2 linked regions of the Caenorhabditis elegans genome follow. The protein of the gene in region 2 interacts with the protein of the main gene of each other region in a biochemical or structural test. Each region holds a gene or a part of one and is shown on either strand. Other genes may lie near its edges.

Region 1 (12,449 bases), on a different chromosome or scaffold from region 2:
CTGTTATTGGTAGGCGAGCCATTGATCAAAATTAACTGCTGAGAAGTTCCTGTTATGAGATACAAGTACGATACAAGTTGGGCTGCTTGTTGAAAAAAATCACAGAAAAACAACTAGAAATGGTAAAATTGGAAAGAAATGATATGGTACAAAATTGGGTCGTAAGATTGATGTTTGTAGTTGAGCCAATAGTCAAAATTAGTTGCTGGGAGGATCCTTGTCACTGAAATTATAAAGATGTGATATTTAACTATTTTTCCCGCTTACCTCTGATTGTCTGATTTCGGTGAATCAGCCTGGTTCAGATCATCTTCGGGATGATCTATATCGTTGCGACGAGAAGCTTCTCCTTCTGCTTGGCGTGGGAAAGATTGGGCCAGCAAGTCGCTCAATGCGTTGACATTGGCACTGAAAATTATAATTGGTACTTTTTTTATTGGAATACTTTGATGTGCTCGGCTCAGATAAAGAATTAATTGGTACGCGTGTATTATAACCAAACTTTTTTTTAATGCAGCGAGTGCCAAAAAATGCCGAGGCATCGGACTGGATTCCTGTGTGTACCTGGCATCATCTGCTCCTTCGACCGTCGCTGACACTGTTTGATTCTGCACATCCGCCGAGCCTGAGGCTCTGGCGTTTGAGCTGTTGAGAGCAGCAGACCTGGCATTCAAGTTAATAATGGATTGGAGGAAGTTGATGTTCGCTCCGCGATACTGCATTTGCACCATCGTCCGCCAGTAGTCGTAAAGCATCGCCTTTAGTGTTATTGAGAACTTTAGCACTGGAGTCTCACCTAAAATTATTTGAAATCAAAGAATACACATTTTTCCACCTACTGGTTGATGTGCCTGAATCATAATTTGGATCAACTCCAGGAAGTAGGTCGTTGTACAATCGCCTTGCAAATTGCTCAAACTCCAGAGTGTTCAAAAATTCTTCCTCTTGCCTTATCAGATCAGGCAAATGAGGTGCAGGACGTGATGAGCTTTGTTGAACTGGGAACTGTTGATTCCCGGAGCCGTGATTCATAGATGAGTTGGAGGGACCTGCTGTGGAACTTGTTTCAACTTGAGCAATTCCATGAGCCATCAAGAAGCTTTCCTGCAGACTGGGCAACTGAGGTGCAGGGCGTGATGAGCTCTGTCCCATTCGGAACTGTTGATTCCCGGAGCCGTGATTCATAGATGAGTTGGAGGGACCTGCTGTGGAACTTGTTTGAATTTGAGAGAGTCCATGAGCCATCAAGAAGCTTTCCGGCAGATTGGGCAACTGAGGTGCAGGGCGTGATGAGCTTTGTTGAACTGGGAACTGTTGATTCCCGGAGCCGTGATTTATGGAGGAATTGGAGGGACCTGCTGGGGACCTTGTTTCAACTTGACCAATTCCATGAGCCATCAGGAAGCTTTCCGGCAGATTGGGCAACTGAGGTGCAGGGCCTGATGAGCTGTGGTTCATTCGATTCCCGGAGCCGTGATTCATTGCATTGAAAAGACCTGACAGAGAACTCGTTGGAATTTGAGAGTTTGCATGAGCCATCAGGAAATTTTCCGGAAGAGCAGGCAATTGAGGTGCAGAACCTGATGAGCTCTGTCCCATTTGGAACTGTTGATTCCCGGAGCCGTGATTTATAGATGAATTGAATAGACCTGACAGAGAACTCGTTGGAACTTGAGCGTTTGCAGGAGGCATCTGGAAGGTACGATCTCTCGAACGGTTATCCATGTTCATTGCTCGAGTATCTGCATTTTGATTATTTGGCCACAAACCCATGTGTGGAGGAGCTTGAAAGCCGGCATTTGGAAAACCGTATGGCATATTTGAAGTCGGATATCTTCGTGCATGAGCCCTCTGAGCAAGTTCATAATCGTACATGTCTACAAGCCTGGGAACTCCGTGAAGCCTGGGAACACCGTTAGACAAAGGTCTTGGTACGAAATTCATTGGAACGTGGGAATCGCCTTGAGCCATCTGATTACCCATGTTCATTGCTCGAGTATCGGAACTCTGACCATTGACCTCAGGACCAATGTCTGGAGCTTGACCGCCCGTATTTTGTAGACCGTTTGCATTATTTGGAGCCGAATGTCCTTGTATTTGAACCAATCGTGAAGATCTATTGTCTGCCTCTCTTTGGTAATTATATTGCAACCGGAAAATTGGAGCATGTTCTGTTCGTGATTGCGATGACATGGTGGAAGAAGATTCAGAGCGATTTCGATTTCTTGTATCCTGAATCACTGGCTCTTGGAGGCTCGTATTATTGCTCGTTCTCCCATCTCCAATGCTGCCAAATTGATTTTTGACGCGATGTGTGGCCCGGGATGATCTCCGTTGGACAGTCCGGCTTTCGCCTTGAAACGAATTATCAGAAAAACTGTATTCGCGCCACTGATCTACGGATGGTAGATTGATGGAAACGTTACTCCGGTCACCTGCATACTCATCGCGATCAACACCTGAAACAATTTAGCTTATTAATATATGAAGTGCCAAAGAATAAATGAAGTTGTACTTATGTTTCCGATAAATGTTTCATATAAAAAATAAATAGAAATTGGAACCTTATCAATTTGTTATGTTTTGATAACTTATTTTCATTCAATTATTACCCGGTACTTCAGTAAGAAATAAAGAGAGAAAATTTCATACAACATGAATATATGATTCTCCCGACTGTTGAAGTAATGCACTGTGAACGTAGATAATTTTCTAATCAAAGTTTAGATTTGAGGCTCACCTGGAACCTGGTTCTGATGTGAGGGCGCCTGTCCTCCTTGAGACTCGTCTCTCGATTCATATGTCTGTCCACGCCGAGTTGTTGATCGTGGCGGAAAATTGCTTGCATTCCTGTTGTCCGTTTCCTGTGCAATTGTACCACTTTGGTTAGTTCTACTTTGTGTGGACGCGGATGAATCGGATTGAACGGTTGGATCATCGGCAAGAGACGTGTTTCCAGAGAAGCACAGCCAAAAATTCTCCAAATTATTTGAGCCATTGTACATGTCTGTCCAATAAAGTTGCTGCTGGTTGTGAACTGCACCTGTAACAAACCGGTTTAATAAATATAGTGAATCTAAATTTATTTTTTTTTACCTCCAATACTACGCATGTTGGTCGAAGAAACTGATTCATCACGATTCCCGACTCTCGCTCTTTCTTGGGACTGTTCGCGACGGTGATCTCCGGGTGGTGGGAGATTCTCATCCGATGAAAGATCATCACAATTTTCCATTGCCGCGCAACAAATGGAAACCTAAAAATTGAAAAATTGTAGAAAAATGTTAAGAAAAAAGAAAAAAAAGAGATTTCGCAACAACTGCAGATGAAACAGAGAGCGGACCACTGTCCACGTGTAATGGAACGAAGACTGAATGGAGTGCCTCGGAAGGAAAAGTGAGAGGGAAGAGACGCAGCAAGTGCGTGACGGAACTGTGACGATGGATATGATGAAAACAGTGCACACGCGAATTATTGATTTTACCATTGTAAACTGGAACAGATAAAAATGGAACGGTTCTTATTTATGCATGATTTTTTTCTTTGAATTTGAAAACCTAAGTTAGCTGTGAAAGGGCGAATGTGATCGTTTGAAATTTCTCAGAAACCTTATGAAATTCTGGCGTTTGAGAGTTTAAAGTATGCAGAAATTAGAGTTGTAGGGATTTCAAGAAAAAATTGCATAGTTCAGAGTTTCTCAAAATAAAATTCTCTGAAGTCTTATTGGTGTGCAATTTTCTGCTGTTGAACTATTTAAAACAGTGCTGGCCAATACTCGCTTTCAATTTTTCGGCGACTATTTAGACTTTTCCAATAAGTATGCTCCAAAAGCTATACGTTTCAGCAAGAAACTTTTAACTAAAAAAGTGATCCACACGTTTTTATCTACTTAACCTAGTTAAATACGAGCATTCGTTGATCAAATGAGGTCTTAGGTTGATCACTTGAAAAATATAAAAATGCACCGAATCAAGCCACATCATAATTGAACTTTACAAGTTTGTCCTACCATTAAACCTGAACTCGTTTTCTCAATATCTTCATCATGTGAAAAACGGTATGACTTTTAAAATAAACCAAAATAATTCAATGGGTATTTGTTTTTGAAAGATATATGTTTGGATTAGTAATTTCCAGTTTTTACAACAAATTTCAAACATTTAGAACAAAATATTTTTATCGAAATAAACAACAATAGTCGGTGAAATTGTACTGGACAGTGACTGGAAAACCGGTAAGACTGAAACTGAGCACTATGAGATACAAGTACAATACAAGATGGTTGAAGAAAATCACAGGAAAAAGAATTTCTAATCGTGAAATTGGTTAGTGTGGTAGAAATAGAGAGTGTTATGGTACAAAATTGGGTAATAAGATTGATGTTGGCAGGCGAGCCAAAAGTCAAAATTAGTTGCTGGGAGGTTTCTACTATGAGATACAAATACAGCACAAGATGGGTTGATGGTTGATGAAAATCACAGGAAAATATAATTTGTAATTGTGAAATTGGTTAGTATGGTAAAAATAGAATTGTTATGGTACAAAATGGCAGCACAGTAAGTGTGTTCTTGTAGGCGAACCAATTGTCCAACGTCTCATTCATTGCTTGGCAATTCCTTGTCACTGAAAAAAAAATTGCTTGTTATTTATATAAGTTCACAAGTCTCACCTTTGCTTGTCCGATTCTTGTGGCTCAGCTTGTTTCAAATCACTTTCAGAATGAACATTCTTGGTGCAATCAGGAGCTTCGTCATCTTGTTGGTGGAGGAAGGATTGAGACATGTAGCCTTTCACAGAGCTGGCAATATCACTGAAAAGAAATAATAGTACATCGGAATTCGTTTATTATGGTTAACATACCTTGAAGTGCTTGGCTCAGGCGAAAAGTTGATCTTTTCATCAAGCATACGAACAAAATTATCCATGTCCATTGTGCTTCGCTTTTTGATGCCACTGTATCTAATCATCTTCTCAAAGGATGGTGTTTTGGGCTTAGTTGAAGCTGCTGGAACTGGCCCGGCATGACTTTGTGAAGAATCCAAATTCTCATCAAGTGTCTCCAAGGTATTATCAAGACTGGCAGCGGGACGAATGTACATGGATCGGCTTTTGGATGGCTGTGAAGTCGAAGCATCCTCTCTGAAAAAAGTAGGATAGAAAACAAACAACAGGCAGAGTATGCACCTGGCAACATCCGAAACCTCAGCCGCAGTTGGAAGAGTTTGATTGAGAACATCCGATGAGTTTGAGGCTTTGGCAACTGAACTGTTGAGAGCAGCAAACTTGGCGTTGAAATCAATAATCCACTGAATAATGTTGATGTTGGCTCCACGATTCTGCATTTGCATCGTCTTCCGCCAGTAGTCGTAGAGCATCGGCTTCAGTGTTTTTGCCAGCTTCAGCAACTGATGCTTGGGAGCGTCACCTAAAATGATTTTAAATCACATAAACACACAAATTCCACTTACTGAAAGTGTCTGCAGCACCATTTGGAAGGATTCCCGGAAGCAAGTAGTTGTACAATTGTCTTCCAAATTGTTCAAAATCTGGAGTCTCCAAGAAAGCTTCCTCTTCCTTTGTCAGAGTTGGCAAATGGGGTGCAGGGCGTGATGGGCGTTGATCCACGTGGTTGTATTGGTTCCTCGAGCTGTGATTCATAGAAGTGTTGGAGTGAGCTGGTCTGGAACTCATTGTAACTTGAGAGCTCCCTTGCGCCATCTGGAAGCTTTCCGACAGATTAGGCAACTGAGGTGCAGGGCCTGATGAGCTTTGATTCATTTGGAACTGTTGATTCCCGGAGCCGTGATTCATGGATAAATTAAATAGACCTGGCAGAGAACTCATTGGAACTTGAGCGTTTGTATGTGGCATCTGGAAGGTATGATCTCTTAAACGGTTATTCATATTCATCGCTTGAGGATCTGCATTTTGAGTATTCGGCCGATGAGCTATTTGTGGAGCTGGAAAACCGGCATTTTGAAGACCGTAAGCTATATTTGGAGCCGGATATCCTCGTCCTTGAGCCATTTGTGAAGACTGATTGTATTGGTCGAGGAGTGCCTGATTGTATTGGTCAAGGAGTGTTGGTGCTAATGACTGGTTCAGTGCAGAATAGCTTTGGTTGTGTCCCATGGCAGTAGGTGCTCTCTGCTCCAAGAAATTGCCGTTCGCGACATCAGCGGCCAGTCTTATCCCGGTTCCAACAGCGTTTTGTCCAGTGGATCCCAAACCAGTGTAAATTCCAGTGTGATCGGAAAGAACTCGATGATCTTGGTCTCCTCCTCGCAAGTTGCCAAAAACGCTAAACGAAGTGTTCAGGTTATTTCCAACTGCTGAACCATTCAGGAAACTCGCATTCCTATTGTCCCTTTCCTGCACAATTGTATCAAAATGGTTAACTCTTTGTTGTGCCAACGCAGAGAAATTGGAGAGAACATTTGGATCATCGGCAAGAGACGTGTTTCCAGAGAAGCACACCCAAGAATTCTCAACATTATTTGAGCCATTGAGCATGTTTGTCCAATGACGTTGCTGCTGGTTTTGAGCTGAGCCTGAAAAAAAACCAGTTTAATAAATCTATTGAATTTTAATTTTTTTTTACCTCCAATACTACGCATGTTGCCCGAAGAAAACGGTCCGTGATGATTCCCGATTCTCATTCCTTCTTGGGACTGCTCACGTCGGTGATATCCTTGCGGTGGGAAATTCCCATTTGAAGAAAAATGACCACGATTATCCATCGCCGCTCAAGAAATCAATCTCTAAAAATGGAATTATTGTGGAAAAATTACAAGAATTTGGCTAAAAACAAAAAAAAAATTCAACAGAAAATAAAAGATTTCGCAATAACTGCAGATGAAAAAGAGAGCGGACCACTGTCCACCAGTAATGGTACGAAGACTGAATGAAATGATATGAAATGAGAGAAGAGAGGGAAGAGACGCGCAGCATGACGAAACGTGGCGGCGCGCAGACAAAACAATACAAAAAAGAGCGGGCAGGTGTAGGTCAAAACAAATTTTGTGTGGATCTACTATTTTGCTCTTTAAGAATCACGCTAGAAATACGCAAATAAAACTTTGAATTTGGACAATAAATGAGAAAAAAAGTACTATAAAAATTTTTGTCCATTCTCGTAAATTAATAGATAAATCGGGAAGCACCTTTGCACGAAAGACTGATAAAGATAAAGAATAAAAAAGCAAACAATTATTTTTATATTTTGATTAAAACTAAAAAAAAACCTTTTAATGATTTTTGTCTAAAAGTCAGAAAACTTATCAATGCCGAATAAATTTGGTTGGGCCACTGCAGTCTAAAAACAATCCTCATTTTTGATAATTTTTGTAAGTTTTTATAATTTCAATACATGTTCGTTATAGCTACCCGCCTTTAACTTTTTATATAACACATAATTTTTTAAAAGTTATTTCACTACAAATTCACGTTTATCACACAAAAAAGATCAGAGTTTGGTAACAATATATTTAAAAACATTTGTTTCAAAATCGATGGTATGAAGCAAACGTATCAGTATTCAAAATAGTCATGTACATAAATTAAAATTTCTGGCTTTTTCAGAAGATTGGTTGAATGTAACCAAGCTACACATTATCCCTAGAACGTCGTCTTGATTCTGAAAAAAATCCCAATCATAAATTTCGGGAGTATATGAATTCTTATGATTTTATTTATGCTTTGTTCAAATGTATATCTAAGATCAATCATTTTTCGCTACTAAATCATGAATTGCAAGTTTTCAAAGTTATTCAGAAATGTGATTCTTTTTTATTTAATTTTGTTTATACTTTTCTAGCATCAGCACTCTTCTCAACAATAATTGATGTACTCTTAATGACAGAATTCTCCTGTCATAGTATTTGTTTCTCTCCGTGATTATCACCCGTGCTTCATTTTTCAGTTGCTCCTAGCAACTCATACTATCCCAAGGGAACTGAAAAAAGCGGGGCACTGCCGAGCTTCACATCTATGGTAGCGCTGATTTCCTCATTCCATTGCCCAAAATGATGTTGGCTATATGCTTCGGTATATTAATCTCATTCATGGATACTTTTGGGTTCATCGCTACCTTATTGTACCTTATGGTTGCAATCAAGTGTAACGGAATCTTCTATGTTCCACATCTCGTGAGATACTTTTTTCTCATCAATGTAAGTCAATTTCGTCTGATTCCTCAAACAGTAATAAACATAGTTTAGACCCTGATCATCACAATCAATTCGGTAGTTCTTTCAAAATTTGGTATCATCTGTGGCAATTTTGAATGGTTTGAGGAAGTTGTGTTTGCTCCAAACTTCCACTCATCAGCTCTTAACATTCTCCTCCGCGTCTCCAACTTCCTTTTCCATGCGATTTCAACTCTTCAAATCATCGTCATATCGTTCATGATCTTCATGCGATTGAAAGCTAAATACGATCGTGTTCCTGTGAGTAGTGCTGTTGGTCAAAACTTGATTGACGTGTCATCAAAAAAAAACACCATATTTTAACCAATTACAGGTAGTTTCCGACTACCGAATCCTGCAGATAATGGTTGTATTTTCAGTTGCGTCTGCATCTCCACTACTTTTTTCACCAGTGGAGTTCGAGCTTGTTTGGGACCAATTCTACTTTGTCACCAGTAAAACTGTGAGATACATTAACACGATTTATATGTATTCTCTTGAGTAAAACTTTTCAGCCGATCTCCGTGATTCCTCCTATCATCATCTGCACCCTGTTCTTCAATCTGATTTTGCAAATTTTAATAACTGACAGTCTCATCTTTTCAGAAACACCTTGGTTTGTTTGTGGCGTCGGTGTCTTTGTTGTCAACATGGTAGGTCAACATGCACCATATTCCGTGTCAGAAAGTATGATTATAGGCCCTTCTAGAACTAGACCACTATCTCGACATAAGCCTAGTTGCCGATTTTGAGTTCGTTGTTTTCCCGTTGACCACTGCCTGCTTCTCTTTTTGTGTGCCGGCAAGTAGAATCATCCCATTCAAAGAGGTAAGAGAGAATTGAAAAAATAAATAAGAAAAATAGTATGTTGGTTGTTTCAGAGCCGCTCCGAAATGTGGAAACTTCTCTGGGGCTACGGACAAGAAACCGCCAAAGTACATCCAACTGTGGAATCAATTGAAATGAAGTTTTAAACCTGCACTCAATAAGATCATCACCAATCTCTAATTCCCAATTTTCTTGTGATCCAGTATTATTTTAGCCAAGGGATTTCATAAAATCTTTTTCTAAGTTTTATTTCAGATTTTATGCAGTTTGGGGATATTGCTGTCCCAAATTAGCATATTGTGGTTAAAACTGAAATTATTCGACTGCACGTTAGCTCCATAGTTCAATTGGTCAAAATCCAAACTGATCAACTTATTGAGTCATTAAATCATATTTATTTTTGTCTTTTTAGGTCATGTTGTCAATTAATTATCAGATGACTAGTAATCAAAATTTTTAACCATTGATGATTAATATAAATAGTGATACATCAATCTTTTTGAATTTGGTTTAAAAATAGAGTACTCTGCGATTGTGAAATCAGAAGATGACTTGAACATACTACTACCTTTCGTGGATAAGAATTAAAACGAAAATTAGGGTTACAATAGTGGGTTGAAATAGATAAAAGTTTGCAAAAGCTCAACGGAAACCCCTAGGCGTCTAAAATGAGAGCTACTCAACTAACTGATTCAAAAACAAATACGTGTTGTTTTTGTACATACTAACGCTTTTATAATTTTAAAATAGTTTTAAAGCATTTTTCAATGAAACACTGTTGTTTTGTGGAAATTTTTTGAATGAAATTTAGTTTAAAAAAAAAGGAAAATGTGCAGAAATTGCCAAATATCATTTATGTAGTAAAACATATTGAAAGTTTTTTGAAGTGAGTTTATTAACTGTCAAAAAGGCAATTATTCAGTTTTTGCTATACATAATTTTTGAACAAATAATTTTTATTAACGATTCTTTCAGAGCCACTGTACTCTATAAAGAATTTCGGTTTTTTTTTTCAATTTGAAAATTGCTTACTGCTTCGATAAATTTTGGAAAAACCGGTATCATGTTTTAAAAAACTAAAATAAATTTCAGAACCGTTAAATGCTCCAATAAAGTTTCCAGAAACTAATTTGAAACATAAATAGTTTTTTTTTAATTTATATTTCTCAAAATATCCTCAATGAATGCTCGAAGATATATTTAAATTCGCTATCCCAAACTTACCATAGAATCGAATATTTATCCGAATAATCAAACAGCCAGATTCACACTTTTATTTCATCAAATTCCCATTTCCTCGGTTACCGCCCAGACATTTTTTTTGTTCATCCGGTATTATTTGAACTCATCTATTGAAATAAATTATTCAAAATTCACTTCTCTTTATATGATTTTGATTGGTGAACCCTTTTCCTTAAAATTCGATTAAGTTGAGTTACTAATTTTAAAACCACCAGTAAGTTTTTTTTTTAAATTAGTTTTAAAATTTTGATTTTAGAATTAACAATATTTTAAGTTTTAAAATGCATATAACAATGTCGGTTAATCATTTTCGAACAGCTTATACTAGTAGATTTGATATTTTGATAAATTCAGTTGAAAAAAAAAAGATAAGGTTCGAGTCATTGTGGCTACCAAGTGATTAGCAACTGCCACATTTGATTAAACCAACTGACATCTTTTCTTTTTTTTCGGGCGCTGAAGCAGAGAACAACTACGGAGAACAGTGTTCATAAGATCAAATGTCGGTTCAAAAATATTTAATTAAACGGAAATACTTGATGTTAAAATGTTTGGGCTAATTGTATCAAAACACAAAATTTTAAGGTTTAGAAAATTCTTTATTTGGTTTTGATTAAGTTAAACCTAATATTTTTCTCAAACTTCAAGCAGTTACTGCAAAAAAAAAACACAAAAACACAATTGAATTCAAAAAAATGTAAAGAAAAATAACAGAACTTACAAGTTAGTGCTGCATTTTTAAGCGAAAAACGTTCCGAATTCTAACTGAAGTAATGAGAATTATTTCATATAGGCATGTATTTCTAACGATCAAATAATTTGGAAAATGAATGATATTTCCTAGAAAAAATTAAAAGTGTGGGAAAAAATATTTTTAAAAAAATAAATGTAATATTTTCTGATAGTGAGGTATTTTATGAATTCTAACCTTTGAAATAGGATTTTAAAAATGTTTTTATTATTCCATAATATTTCATATGTAGAGACAAAATCTGAGAAATAAAATTTTAAAATTAAAATTTTAATGTAATCCTGCTAGAACATATAGTTTTATATATAGTTCGCGACTTCAGTTTCTAGACTTGCACTCAAAAAAGAAATAAATTGTCTTCCATCTTCCATCCACAATAATTGAAAGCAAAAACGAAGCACAAACTCACAAATACACACACTTTTTTCTCGGATCAAGATTTTCCTAGCAGAAAATCCATCGTCGTTTTCGCTTATTATTACAGACCAGGAAGACAGTAAAATGTTATCACCAACACCACTTTTTGCAGTGTAAGTTGCTCTATTACTTTTTATCGCTTTCAGAGAGGGTATTCCTGATAAATTTTTTGTTTCGTTTATTATATGTTTAGGGTCTGTCTGATTTCGGTTTATGTTACTTTTTTAAGCAAAAAAAAACTTGAGCCATTTGTGTTTTCATCATAAGCATTTTATGTTTGCTCTTTGATTATAACTGTATTCTTTTTGATGGAGTGTTCTGTTGAGCATGGCGAATGAAACCAAAACAAACTGAAATTTTGTTTTTGTCAAATAATCATAGTAGTAAATGTTTTGATTTTCCACGTATCGATTAATGAATAAACCGATAATAATAAAAAAAGTGAAACCAGCAGTTGTTTCTACTTTATTTTTTTTTGTTGGAAGCCTTATCACTGACAATTTGCTTTTTCTGATTTTGCATGTTGTTTCAATTTTTCAACAAACTTTATATTCAAATTTTCAAATTTTCAGTTACAGAATTCAAATGGAAACTGCCAACTATTACTTACCTTCACCACCGTATTCTTCCACTTCCAGCTCTGATTCCAGAGGTGGGACATTTTCAAAAAAAAAAAACACATTCCAACGAGTATTTTTAGAAAGTCGTATGAATACACCCATACCTACCACCTACTCTGAAGAAAATGTGAACAGTTTATTTCATCTTATGCCAGATAATACTGACCAATGGATGACGTCACAGAAAAATTTCTGGCAGGAAGGTTTGTTTTCATTTTTGACTGTTCTCTATGTTTCACAATATTTTGACAACTTAAAAACAAACATGGGGGGGGAGGGGAGAAAACTTAAAATAATTTATGAATCTAATATATCTTGAAAAACGAGTTGTATTTTTCCTTTCTTTTTACTTTCCAATCCACTTCTGTTTTGATTAAACAGTCAAGACAAAGAAAAATAATACAA
Region 2 (12,774 bases):
ACACGTTCCAAATTTTAATAAAAAATATGGGTCATTAACTTTAAAGAAAATATTATCGAAAAGAAGAACACATTTGCGATGACGAACAAACAAATGGTGGAAAAATTCTTGATGAAGGTGATGATAAGAATCATCAATTTAGGCCTAAGCCTAAGACAGCCTAAGCATAAGCATAAACCTAAGCCTATGCCTATGCCCAAACCTTCTTGAAATAAGGGCCCAGACAAGCTGATAACCATTTCAAAACAAAAATTCCAATTCCCATAAGAAAATAAGAAAATTATGAAGCTCCTCAATAACAAGTCTAGTAAAGGAATATTCCAGAAATTTCATAAATTCTTGGAATTTTTGATGTGGGGAGAGGCAAAGAATCTGAGAGCACTGGCTTGGCTTGTCAAAAAAATTCATAGAAATAGTCCAAGTTTTGCCAAAAAAAGTGCATTTTTCCAATGCACTAAAGAATTGTTAACGGTGGAGTGAAAGGAAATAGGAAAACAAGAAAAAAGGCGAGGAAAACCTCACTGATCATACTAAAAATAAAGAGATTTGCATTTTTCCAAGAAATCTCAGAAAAGCTTAACAGAAGCTTAGCAAAAATTGGCTTTATTTGAAATAAGTGACCACACGAAAGATTGAAAGAGGCAGCAGTCTCAAATTGAGCTCTAGCTTTCTCTATGCAATGAACAATGTAATACGCGCCCTTGCTTCTTCTTCTTCTTCTTATTCTTCAGCTTCTTCGTTCATTAGACAGCTGGTTGAGGAGTAGAAAATTGAGAGAGATGCAGAGAAATAGAGAAGGAGAAGAAGAAAAAGACGACAAAGTATATAGGGCCATTTTAAATGACGACGAGATTGAAGAGTAGAAGAAGAAGAAGCAGTAGAGAGAAAATGAAACAAGTTGAGAAATCGGTCTCCAGAGAGACATTAGAAAAGGACAAGCGAACGGGCAGAAAAAAATTGGCAAAAAAAATATTATCGTTCGAGGCAAAACAGGGCGTTTTTCGGGCAATCTGCCTGATGAAATTATGTCTAATAGTAGAGCTTCCAAGTAAATTTTCTTGCCTCCAGAGCTTGCCTACCATGGAATACCTAGAGAAAACATATCTGACCACAAAACGTTTGTGAAAAAGCAAAGCCAAAGCGAAAAAATCGAATTTCCGGAGAAATTTCGAAATAGTTTTCTATCCAAACTAGATTCGCTCTCAACATTGTTTATTAATAGACCTAAAGCTGCTGTTCGTAATAGAAATTCGCGAATCAAATGCATCGATTACCGCACATAAACATAAAGAATAAAGGAGAGAGAGACACTTTCATGCATCAGCTTTCTCTTCATGTGTGTGTTCGGAGAAAGTGCTTTTGGATACATACACATAGTACTAGTACGCATAAAACGAAAGGAAAAAGTGCCCGGCTTTCCTGTGAAAAGAATAAGAAAACTGACGAGGAAAATTGGAATTTCCCTCGATTGCGCAAGTGGCCAAAAACCGAGCAACAGAGTTTGGAATTTCGAATTTCGAAGCACTACATTCTCAGTCAGAACGCCTACTTTTCCTATTTTAAGACAAATGTGGGGAACTACAAAATGAAATATATTATACAAATTGACGTAAATATGAATGATGATAAAAATATTTGAAAAAAAAAAACTAACCGTTGTCAAACGATGACGTCTGCACGTAGTTGACGAGATGCGGATTTGCAGACGAGTTGATAACTGGAGGAGAAATATCTCGAATTGATTGCTTCAAATCACGAGAAATTGTACCTAGTGGTCCATAGAGATTGTTGGTCGACGAATTCGTGGACGACGGTTGATGGTAGCTTCGAGTGAGCGTGTTTCCGGAGCCGAGAGCCGGGTTACGGTGTCCCTGGAAAAAATTCCTTAAATTTTAACCGCCGCACAGCCTAGTATCTTGTGTATCCAACATCCAGCATTCCTTACCTGTACAAGACTGTTGCTGCTTGCCGAGTTCTGTGAGCTTCCGAGCAGATTTGGTGGCAACGAGTTTTGCGAATGGTATACCGGATGATGATGGTTGGAGCTGGACGATGATGCTCCCGAGAAGGAGGTTGGCGCGGCGGCAAACGACGCCGATTGTGGAATCTGCGGCAGATAGAGTTGCCGAACAAGAGTTGTTGATGTGGGACACTCACTGAAAAAAATGGGACATGTGATTAGGTAGAATTATTTGATTGGGGTGGAAGAATTTCACATTTTAAAATTTAAAATTAAATCGAGGTTGCTAAACCCTTAATTTTCCCAATTAAACCATCATAAAAGTTTGCTAAATTGGCTTGTAAGTTCGATTTATGCCAAATAGTGAAAGTGTACAATTTTCCCCCCGACTAGACTGAAAAACAATAAATGGGATGAATGAAAAATGTATCCCACTACAATGTAAAAATGCGTACCAAAAGACTAGCCCCACAGCTAATCTCAAAATCTGTAAAAACATCAAAAAACAACTCAGAAAAAGAAGAAAAAAAAAACACAATTTTGTAATACGTACAGTTAAGTAGAAGGGGCAGCGATTAACGAGAGGACATAGAGATAATCAGTCGGTAAGGGAAAAAAGTGTTTTTATCTAAAAATCAATGAATTTAGATCTAAAAAGTCGATTAAAAATTAGATCTTGATGGTGTAAAGAGGTGAAAGGGTTGAAGTACAACATCAGGTGATGGAGAATAATTACAAATGATGGATGATCTTTGAAAATTATTAGCAAAATAAAGGTACACGTGATAAGCGCCAAAAAAAAGCCATGCACATGAATCTGAAGACGTGTCTTCCTACTGTCGAAAATTTAGCTACAAAATGCAATGCAGCCGACACCTCACGGGATCAGAACAATGTGTGGAGGCTGCCAAAACTGCGGAACACGGAAAGTGTCGGGCGCTACTACTTGACCGTTGCTACAGCACCCGACACCTCACGGGCTCAGATAGAAAATATGTGGCTACGGGAAAACGACTATTTTCGGGTAATTTTGAACACAAATAAAAATTGAGGTCACTGAATTAAAAATTTAAAACTTGGATTAATCATCATTGAATAAATTAACTGAACAAATGAACACCTAATTCATTTCTCATTCATTCTCACTTTCTTTCCAGCCTCCTTCCACACCTTATTAGTCATGCGAAAAGAACGAGAAGCACCGTGAAAATCGGAGAAGAGAGTGAACGTTTCGGCTAATCTATTCCTCAGTGTGGTGGCCAATTCTCTCTCTCTTTATAAATCAATTGCCATCATCAACATTTTGCCCATTTTATTAATAGGTACGATGCCTTCTGGCGGCGTCGTTTTCACTTTCGCATGGAAACACAGGCAGGAGATCGACCAACGTTTGAATGGAAATTGAGAGAGACAGAGACATAGACGGTGAAAGAAAAGGCGTGATGGTAGAGGTACAACTGGTGTCAATTAAAACTTTTCAATGGTAATAAACTACACGGGGAGGGGGTATCGAGGTGTCCGATCTTTAAAGAGTGAGAAGGAGGGATAATGGTAGAAGTTCGAAAAATATTTTTTACAAAGTAGAAATCCCGAAGATTGGGGAGCATCGGGTCCTACCGGCAGTTTTGAACGAAGGACATAAGACGAGGGGAGGCATTTCCGGGTATATGGAGGCGTTTTCAGACCCCGAGACATGTCGCCCCGCCCTCGTATGTTAACTTATTTTGCAGTGAAACAAAAAAATTATCAAAAATCTTTCCCTGACCAAGTGTAATATAATCGTTCAGACTACAGATGTTCTGATTAGAAATATGTGGTTTGGCGCCGTTCCTTAATTCGAGCACCTGCCTGTCAAGTGATTCGAATGGCAAAAAAATATCAAGGCTTAACGAAACGAGGGGCCTAAAAATTCCGGTTTAAAAATTAGAAAGAATTGTAATTTTGTGCAACGCTGAATTCAATACAACAAATGTGACAAATTGCTCATAATGCCGTCGGAAATGTGAGGGGAGGGCGAAGAGGCGAATGAGAAGCGTCTCCGTGACGCCTTGGCTGGGCGGAATTCCCACTGTAAACTTTTCGTTCACAAATTCAAAAAAATATTCACAATCTCTATGGGAATTATATTTGAAAGCCTGCCAGTTTTCCAGATACTTAAATTTTTAACTAAACTTACTAACTTTTTAACTTTTTAACTATTTTTAAATAAAATTCAACGACTTTTACTATATGCAAAACCTCACCTCGAAACATCAGGAAGACTTGGAAGTTTTTTGAAATTTTTCTTAGAAATATTCGAATCAGTCAGCGAATTCTTCATATTTGCAAAGAGGAATGAGCCCTGCTTTTGCGCGCGCGAGGAAGAGCCGCCTCTTTCCAGAAGAAAATGAAGGAATGAATGAAGGCAGGGAGCGATAAAAGAGGAGATAGAATTTGTGTTGGAAACTACATTTACAGGCGATTATTGTGTAGTATTAAGTACAAATCTCACAGCTTTGTAAGAGTTTTGGGGCTCTCGAGAAGGAGGAGGAGGAGGACTTATAAGCTTATGCAATTTGATCAAAAGTGCTAAACTTGGCTGAAATTTCAGAATCAAGCAGGTTTGTAGTTGTTTTGTAGAACTAATTTTTGCAAATATTAAAAATTTTAATTTGAAAAAGTTAGATCGTTTCGGATCAAAAAAAATTTCTCCGAAATTTGTTAGTAAGTCAAAAACTAATAATTAAAACTGAGAATTAAAAAAAATTACAGTAAACTTTTTGATTTACAACTATTATAAAACCGTAGTTTAAAAATTGCAAACTGTGACATCTCGGAGAAAAGCCAAAAAAAAAATTGCAAAAACTGTATGTTTTTACAGCTCCAACCATTTTGGCAATAAATAGGACAAGTATTTATTTTTACTGAAAAACTGGAAATTTGGTCATTCACAATAGGAAGTAATTTCTAAAACTACAGAAAGTGCTAAACAACACACAAAGCCAGCTAGCGGAGGATCGTTGCGAGTTGACCAGGTAGATCAAAAACAAAAAAAAATTGTACATACATCTCAAGAATCTGTAGATCACTGTATACAATCATAAAAGGTATGGAAAGCCTCTCCTAACGACTAATGAAAAAGGGAATCCCTGTGAGAGAGGCGAAGAACGATGAAGAATAGAAAAGACGGGTTTTTTACGAGTTGTTTCCATCATGGCCCGGCGTGTGTGTTGCCTCGGTTGGTTTGATTACGATGCCTCATTTTCCCGACCGCAAGGTCCTCCTAGTCTCCACCATACAGGTAAAGAAAACAGAAAACACTACCGAATTAGTACTTGTAATTAAAATAAAAATGTGTGTGTGTGGGGATAGATAGGGGAACGCGAGAACCTTATCTGGGGGAGGGTGGGGAAAGCGGGACTGAAGACTAACACAAGTGATACAGAGAGACAAAGATCGGAAAGATTCGGTGCGGATTTTTGATGACCAACATTTGATACGGTACTTTTGTGAGGAACGCTTTTTTTTGGAAAAAAATATCGTAGTTTTCTGAAAACTTCAGCACAAGGTTTGGCGAATTGGCAAAATTTTTTGCAAACTTTGAATTTTTCAAACAGAACCTTCACAATGTTTAAAAAAATTAAAACTGAAAATTTGTAGAAAAACCCTTTCTTGGTCAATTTCTTGATGTATGGAAATTCAGGAAAAATAGTTTTCTGCAACATTTGTATCACAACGAACAAAATAAAATTTTTGCACATTTGCTCTTAGGCTTGCGAATTTTTCTTTTAACTAAATCTAACAAGATCAAAAAGTTCCATAATTATTTCGTTCAAGTGAACAAATCTCTTGACACTTAAAAATCTCTAAAATCAACCTGTTTTCAAGAAACCATAAAATGTTCGTTTTCTGTAAATTGTCTACTTTCAAGTACAATCTATCTCATTTTTCCTCTTCTCACACACATTGAAATCGTACTTCGAAGAACAATCAGAAAACGTCTTGAAATTGGATAGGGTTAAGGGGGCAAGCACAAAAGGAGTCATTAAAGTTCCATTTTCAAAAAGTGGAGGAAAAAACTTCTGATGAGAACATCATGACGTGCAACTAAATTCTCCCTTCCCGGATATTTTCCTATCATTTTTCTTCGAAGAGAGGGTAAAGGGAGAAAAAGGCCAAGGGAACACTGATTGACTCTTTGAGCATTTTTACACTTTGTGTGTCTCGTTTAAAATGTTGTTACATTCAAAATTGTGAGAAATCGACGAGAGATAGGATTTGAAAAATTGTTCAATTGAAGCATAAGTTTCTACTGAAAAGTCGCTTAAAATTGCAAGTGGCTGAGGAAGTGATTTGATTTTTTTAAAATTTTTTTTAACCAAAAAAATACCGACCTCTACGTCTACTATAAAATATGCGTAAACTTACATGAGGTGAACACTAAAGGCCAGAGTTCAACTTAAAATAAAGGAAATCAGCAAACAGTAGGCAGGCAGGCAGGCATAAGGATATACCTACCAACAATTTAACAATTTACATTACTCCCTTTCTATTGTGACTAGACAACGGGGCCGCCTTACTCAAACGCCAATGCCAATAAACTACGTTAGCTTAGGTCTAACTGTTTTGTTTTAGAGTATGTAAGCTTCAAGGTATTCTAAAACAGCTGTTTTCAGAAAATGAATGTTTTGAAACTATTAAAGTGGGAGAAAAACAAAATTTTTAACAAAAATGTATTGAATCCTGATTAAAATTGCAAAATCAAACAGGTCTGAATCAAAAAAGAAATGATTGACTGTGAATCTAATTGTGAAATCGCTGGTATACCATTCTTGGGTACTCTTGATGACAAATACTCCCCCCACTCCTCCTTTTTATTGAAAAGAAAACACCTCTTCATTGAATGAGAAGGGTTCTCGATCTCAATTTTCATTGATTTTTTTCCTTGTTCCGCCTTTAGATTTCTATTACAATAATACATTGTGATTTTCAAAACATGTTCCAATTTCCAACTAATTAGGCCCTTTACACCAGCTTTTCAACTAATCAGGTTAAGCATAAATGGACAAAAAACATCAAAAAGTTTTCTCAAGGACCCCACAGGGTGTAAAGTTTAATGGGATCCATATGGTGGTCAATGGGGGGGGGCTTTCAAGGAAAATAAATGACCGTCTGCTGCAGGCACGACTTTTGAATATTTCTAGAAATTTCCTTAAGAACTTCAAAGTAATTCGAAATTGCAATATTTTAAACTACATACGTTTAGTGGGAAAATTGAAGAAAAAATTTGAAGAGAAAAAGAATCAAAAGCTCACTGTGAAACTGATCTTCCTTGTGCATCCAGACTCATTACACTGCGATCTCGCTGACCCTGAAATGATTTTTTTTGAATTTTAGGAGCAATTTGTTTAGAATTTTATAATCCTAGTAGAACTATAATAACTAGTAATATCAAAAATGAACATTTAAGAAATCACACAAAAGTTCAGAAAAAAGTCAATATCTTTACTTTTTCAGAGGAGAAATTTAAAAATTTTCAAACTCCATTTCAATTTGAAACTATAATTACATGCACTACTAATAGAGGTATAGCACACCCACCTGTTGTGTAACATCAATCGGTTGTTGCCCGTAACTTCGACTGTTACGTGTGAACGAGGCAAGAGCAGCCATGCTTCAACTACTCTAGACTGCTGCAAGTTTGGGAGAGAATTCCTAAAAATTTTTTGTACTTTTTAATACAATTTGTGGTAGGGGGTAATAAGAGAGTTGACGACGAGTAGAGGGTAATCGGATCAAATACATTTTGTTATCAATGGGAGAAACACCTCACCGAACGTGGGGACAAGTTGGAGCAGATAAGAAAAAGGGGCAAATGATGTTGGAAGAGTCCGTTTTTCTCCCCCTGTTTCTCTTTTACTCTCTAGGAGGAATCCACCAAATTTTTTTTTTGCAGAAACTTGTGTTGTGTTGCGGGTTTGTGGAAGAGCATATGGGAATTGGAGACATAGAGTACGGAGCAACAAACGTTTTTTGAATGGTACACCTAACGGGGTGGAGAACGATGATAAATTGATAGGCAGGCAGTGGATGCTTGGAACGCATGGAGCAAAACTTTTTAGTGAACTTGCTTTGAAAATACAATATAATATAAAAACAAAATAGCGTGAAACTTATTATTAGTGAACCGAAATACGTTAGATGCACAATGACAACAGTGATAAGAAAACGAGATAACTAGATATTTACGCACTTTTAAAGTTCTTCTCCCCATTTTTACGACTAACAATTGGCTTATCAAGAGTCACGAGAGGAGCATCAGCTGGCACCGACCAAAATGGTTTTTTTTCAACTTCCCCTTGTAAGGGAAATTTCTGAACTTTTCCAAAACTTTCTTCCCATAATCTTTGCGCATTCCAAATGTTTTCAAAGCATGCCTTATGAAAACTTAATGCTAATAGTTTTTGATGTCTGATATAAAATGCAAAAATATGGATATCATATGATCAGCGGCAGGAAATATTAAAAAGGGGAGTCTAGAAATAAACAGGCTGAAATTTAAAAAATAGAAGTTAGGGAAGGCATAGAGGATAGGGACCAAGAATGGATAAGCTCAAGCCTAAACCCAAGCCTAAACCCAAGCCCAAACCCAAGCCTAAACTCAAACTTAAACCCAAGTCTAAACTCAAAGTTAAGCCCAAGCCTAAACCTGAGGCTAAACCTGAGCCTAAACCTGAGCCTAAACCTGAACCTAAACCCAAGCCTAAACCCAAGCCTAAACCCAAGCCTAAACCCAAGCCTAAACCCAAGCTTAAACCCAAGCCTAAACCCAAACTTAAACCCAAGCCTAACCCCAAGCCTCAAGCCTAAATCCAACCCTATCTTGAACCTTAGCCTAACACCAATCATAAACAAAAGCTTAAGCCCATAGCAAATCTAAAATCCTATAGCAACCTAAACCCTAGCCTAAGATTAAACCTGAGAATTCTCTCTTATTGAAGCTTAATTGTGTACAAATAACTTATCTGGCATTGGATTCCTGATTGTGAGACGGTTAACGAAATGTGCAAAAAGTGAGAAGAATTGAAAGTAATAAAATAATTGAACAAAGGCAATTTATTTTTATTTCATACCACGTGGATGACCGTGTAAGTTTATTTTGGGTTTCACGCAAAGTTACTTTTTGAAAAATTTTCCAATTAGCATAGTATGTAGACTCGAGGAAAATTGGCATATTTGCTTGGCAAAAGCAAGCCTAAATGAAAACCAGAGCTTCTGCTAAAATTAACTAAATATGTGGTAGGCAAGCACAAAAAAACTAAACCCAAGCCTGAATCCAATCCTAAACACAAGCCTAAACCCAAGCCTTAACACAAGCCTAACAAAGCCTAAACCGGTTTTACCCTGCCTAAACCGGTTTAACCTTTCACGTAAGTGTTTAAAATTTTTTCTCCAATTTTCAAAATTGAGTTGGTCCGAGGTAAGTAGGCATATTTGCCTGCCAACGAATGACTCGTACCTACCCCCAGCGTACAACAAGGCAGGAATGTAGGCCGTATTTTTTATTAACACATGGATGACTGCGTAAGTTTATTTTATGTTTCACTTAAATAACCTTTAAAATGTGTTTCCTATTAGAAAAATGAAATTAACTCGAGGCAGGTAGGCATATTTGACTGTATCGAGCCTACGGCCTATAAATCACTAGACAAGAACGCCTGAAAACCTTAAATTCTATCACGTGTAAAACCAAAAACCAAAGAAAAAACAGCAGCCTGGTAATTAGAAATTCAAAGAAAAAAAGCAAATGGATGAGCGAGAAAGAAGAGAAAAGTGTGAAAGATTCATAGGGATATGTGATGAAGGGTGGTTCGGCGGGGCGAAGGCGTATTCCCTCAGAGTGAAAGAATGGTATAGAACAAGAAGAAGAAGAAAAAAGTGCATTCGGGGTCATAGTAAATTGGGCGTGTTTGAGCAGGGTGAGTGAGGGGAAGAGACAAGAGAAAAGGGGGTACAAAAATGACTGGTATCGACGATTATAATCGAATGAATGAGAGTGTTTGTATCTGATGGAATATCTAGGTAAAGACGGGCGGAACCAATGGCACGGCATTTACGGACGGGAAGGGCCATTCGGACGGTGCGTGATTTATTTATTAGCATGGTAAGAGAACACCGGAATGGGTGTCTTAGTGAAGACAGAAACATGTAGGTAATAGAAATTGGAATTGAAAGTTTTAAAATTATTTCACTCTTCACCGACAATTTTGAAGCCCGGGAGCTTAGTTGATCGCTCAAAAAATTTCTAAATTGCATAGCTTACAAAATGCTATTTGTTTAGATTTTTTTTTCAAATGTCAGATTTTAGATCTTAAAATATCATTATTTTGAGATTATAAAAAACGTTACAGCTATATGTTAGTAAGTTAAGTAAGAGTTTCCAAACATAATTCAAAAATTTTTTGACTTTTGATAAGTTTCGAAAGAAAACTTCCACATTTTGAAACGTCCACATTATTTCAGAGTTTAAAAACTATATTTGCATTTCCAGAAAGAAAGTTCCAAAAGTTATGCGAAAATTTCATATGAGTGAGTCACTTTTCCCATACTATAACATATTCAAAACCTAGGGAGTACAAATGGGAGAATTCAAAATTGTGGTGAGATCTAGACTGAGATCTTTTCACCTGACTCTTTCAGGTGAAAACGACTGTCTGCCTACTAAGCCTTTAAGGCAACCTATGCCTACCTCCTGCATACATGCGCGAAAACTGTAAAAGTGCACGAGAAATTTTTTGTTTACATAGAAAATGTAAACTGGATGTATACCAAGGCAGATGCGTAGGCAGGTATGCACGCCTAAACATTTTCCTAAATTTTTATAGTATCTGAATTTCAATATCAAACATTTTAAACATAAATATCATTATGTTTAGAACCAATACCGTAATCTCAAATTTTCGTCCAAAATGCCAATTTTCGGATGAACTGAGCAAATATTGTGGAAGGGGAAATGATTAGGAAAAGAGCAGCCGCCATCAGTATGTTTGGCGCGGCTTCCCTTTAAGGAATTAGTCAAAAAAGGAGAATGTTACAATGAATGAAGTTGTTCCAGTGTTCGATCCTCGACATATTCTGAAAGCAAAAAAAAGTGATTGTCAAGAGATATTAAACTAAACAATAAGGAATTGACGGGTGGAATACGGAAGAAAAGTGGAGGATGAGAAGCGAATCATCCAACAACAAAAAAAACTGAAGGTCGAGTGGCAAAAAGAATTTATGAATAGAGAAAGAGGGGCGGAGTCGACCGAGCATGAGTTAATCGGTAAAGAATTGAGAAAATGCAGAGGAGAATGGGAGAAGCCTAATGGAATTGTAATAGTCCTCAAAAAATGTCTGATAAAGTTTCCAAGTTTTTAACAAGAATCAGTGAAAATTCAGCATAACAAAAAATTTACCTATAAAAAGTATAATTTTTTCTATCAACACTGCCTACTGCACTGCCTACTGCCTACTGCCTACTGCCTACTGCCTACTGCCTACTGCCTACCGCTACAAAAATGCCCACAGAATCTAGCTGAAGCAAAAAATTCTCTAACTTTGCTCAGTGGATTTCCCAGACTGCTTCTAGACTCCAGTGAATTCAAAAGTTCAGAAATTCTACAAAAAAAAAAGAATTTCAAAAGAAGCAACAAATCGGAACTGAAGTGTTCTTGAGCATTTTCCACCAAAAAAGGGAAAGACAGATTTTAGATTCCGGAAGATAAGAAGTGGTGGTGGTTGGGAGGAGGAGGGCATAACGAGGCAACATGCGTGAATGCATTTGAAAAGCCGAAAGAAAGCTTTGATGGGTTGAAATATGAAGCTTCTCCTTTTTTTCCATTCGAACAACATTTGTTGATGTCGTAATTGTTGGGATAGAGGAGGTCGTAAGAAAGGCGAGAAGAAGCTGAGTGTATAGAGGAAAGGGTAAAACAATAACGGGTTGGGGGTAAAAAAAAAGACCTAGAATTACCAAATGTGTACTAGGAAAGTCAGGTTTCATACAAATGGTCAAGAAGGTTTGACGGGGGCTTCTTTCTTTTTGCAATTTATGAATTTTCAGATTTCATCTAGATCGAATTGCGACCTAGTTCTCTTGCAATTTTCAAACGGAAATTCTATTTCAGAATATAGAGCCGAAATCACTGTACTTTTCAAACAACAAAAACAAAATAATAGTTGATTTTATTAGAATTAAATTGGCAAGAAAAATTAGGAAACAAAAAAGGTCCATTAAGATGGTTGGTCTCTAGAAAACAATGTGTCTCGTTGTAAGGATTTGTAAAAATCTATTCAAAAAGGGTCCCACAGGAAAGATAAAAAATGAAGATACCTTTATAATAGAGCTAATATTTGAATGTATAGGTCATTGGGTTGTAAACATCTCTTTTTATGGGGTGAGTAGCGATGTCTTGGCAGCTAAATGTATCTCCCTTCAAAGAAAATATGAGATTATGAGAGTAATTGAGATTATGAGAAAAATGTGTCCTGTAGGTATTCTTAAACAATTTGATTGCTAGGTTTTTTTTAATTGACTATATAAAAGGAATAAGGACAAGTTATCCGTAAATTTTTTTTCTGAAAATGTAGAAATTTCCTAGTCGCTATCCTAGAAAAAGTAAATATTAGCTAAATGTTATAACTGTTTTGTCATTTTGTGCATGCAGACTTTTTTGGAAAACTGAACAACTTGAAACGTCATCAAACAAAAATTTTGACAGAAATTTAGTTAATTTATGTTTTTAAGAATTTTTATTAACTTACCATTAAACCTGATAAATTTTTCAGAGATA

The links.
Region 1: of the proteins of mbk-2 (region 2) and meg-1, one has a biochemical effect on the other in vitro, tested with the Caenorhabditis elegans proteins (one study listed by BioGRID).

What each region holds. Positions count from the first base shown.
Region 1 is NC_003284.9:13,922,874-13,935,322, forward strand, and holds meg-1 (Protein meg-1), read right to left. Parts: upstream 6,762-12,449; 5' UTR 6,741-6,761; coding exon 6,602-6,740; intron 6,552-6,601; coding exon 5,469-6,551; intron 5,426-5,468; coding exon 5,185-5,425; intron 5,140-5,184; coding exon 4,861-5,139; intron 4,811-4,860; coding exon 4,670-4,810; intron 4,624-4,669; coding exon 4,596-4,623; 3' UTR 4,163-4,595; downstream 1-4,162. Other genes in the region: Protein meg-2, read right to left, coding at 199-223, 268-408, 565-796, 840-2,459, 2,741-3,043, 3,097-3,235; Transcription factor elt-3, read left to right, coding at 12,010-12,076, 12,125-12,247. UniProt on the Caenorhabditis elegans protein: P granule component, which acts redundantly with P granule component meg-2 to promote P granule segregation during embryogenesis, and germ cell proliferation and differentiation in larval stages.
Region 2 is NC_003282.8:13,003,996-13,016,769, reverse strand, and holds the start of mbk-2 (Dual specificity tyrosine-phosphorylation-regulated kinase mbk-2), read right to left. Parts: upstream 7,613-12,774; coding exon 7,541-7,612; intron 7,311-7,540; coding exon 7,255-7,310; intron 7,134-7,254; exon of another isoform or gene 7,113-7,133; intron 2,157-7,112; coding exon 1,946-2,156; intron 1,872-1,945; coding exon 1,655-1,871; intron 1-1,654. UniProt on the Caenorhabditis elegans protein: Required for oocyte-to-zygote transition in which it phosphorylates oocyte proteins, including mei-1, oma-1, oma-2, mex-5, and mex-6, modifying their activity and/or stability following meiosis.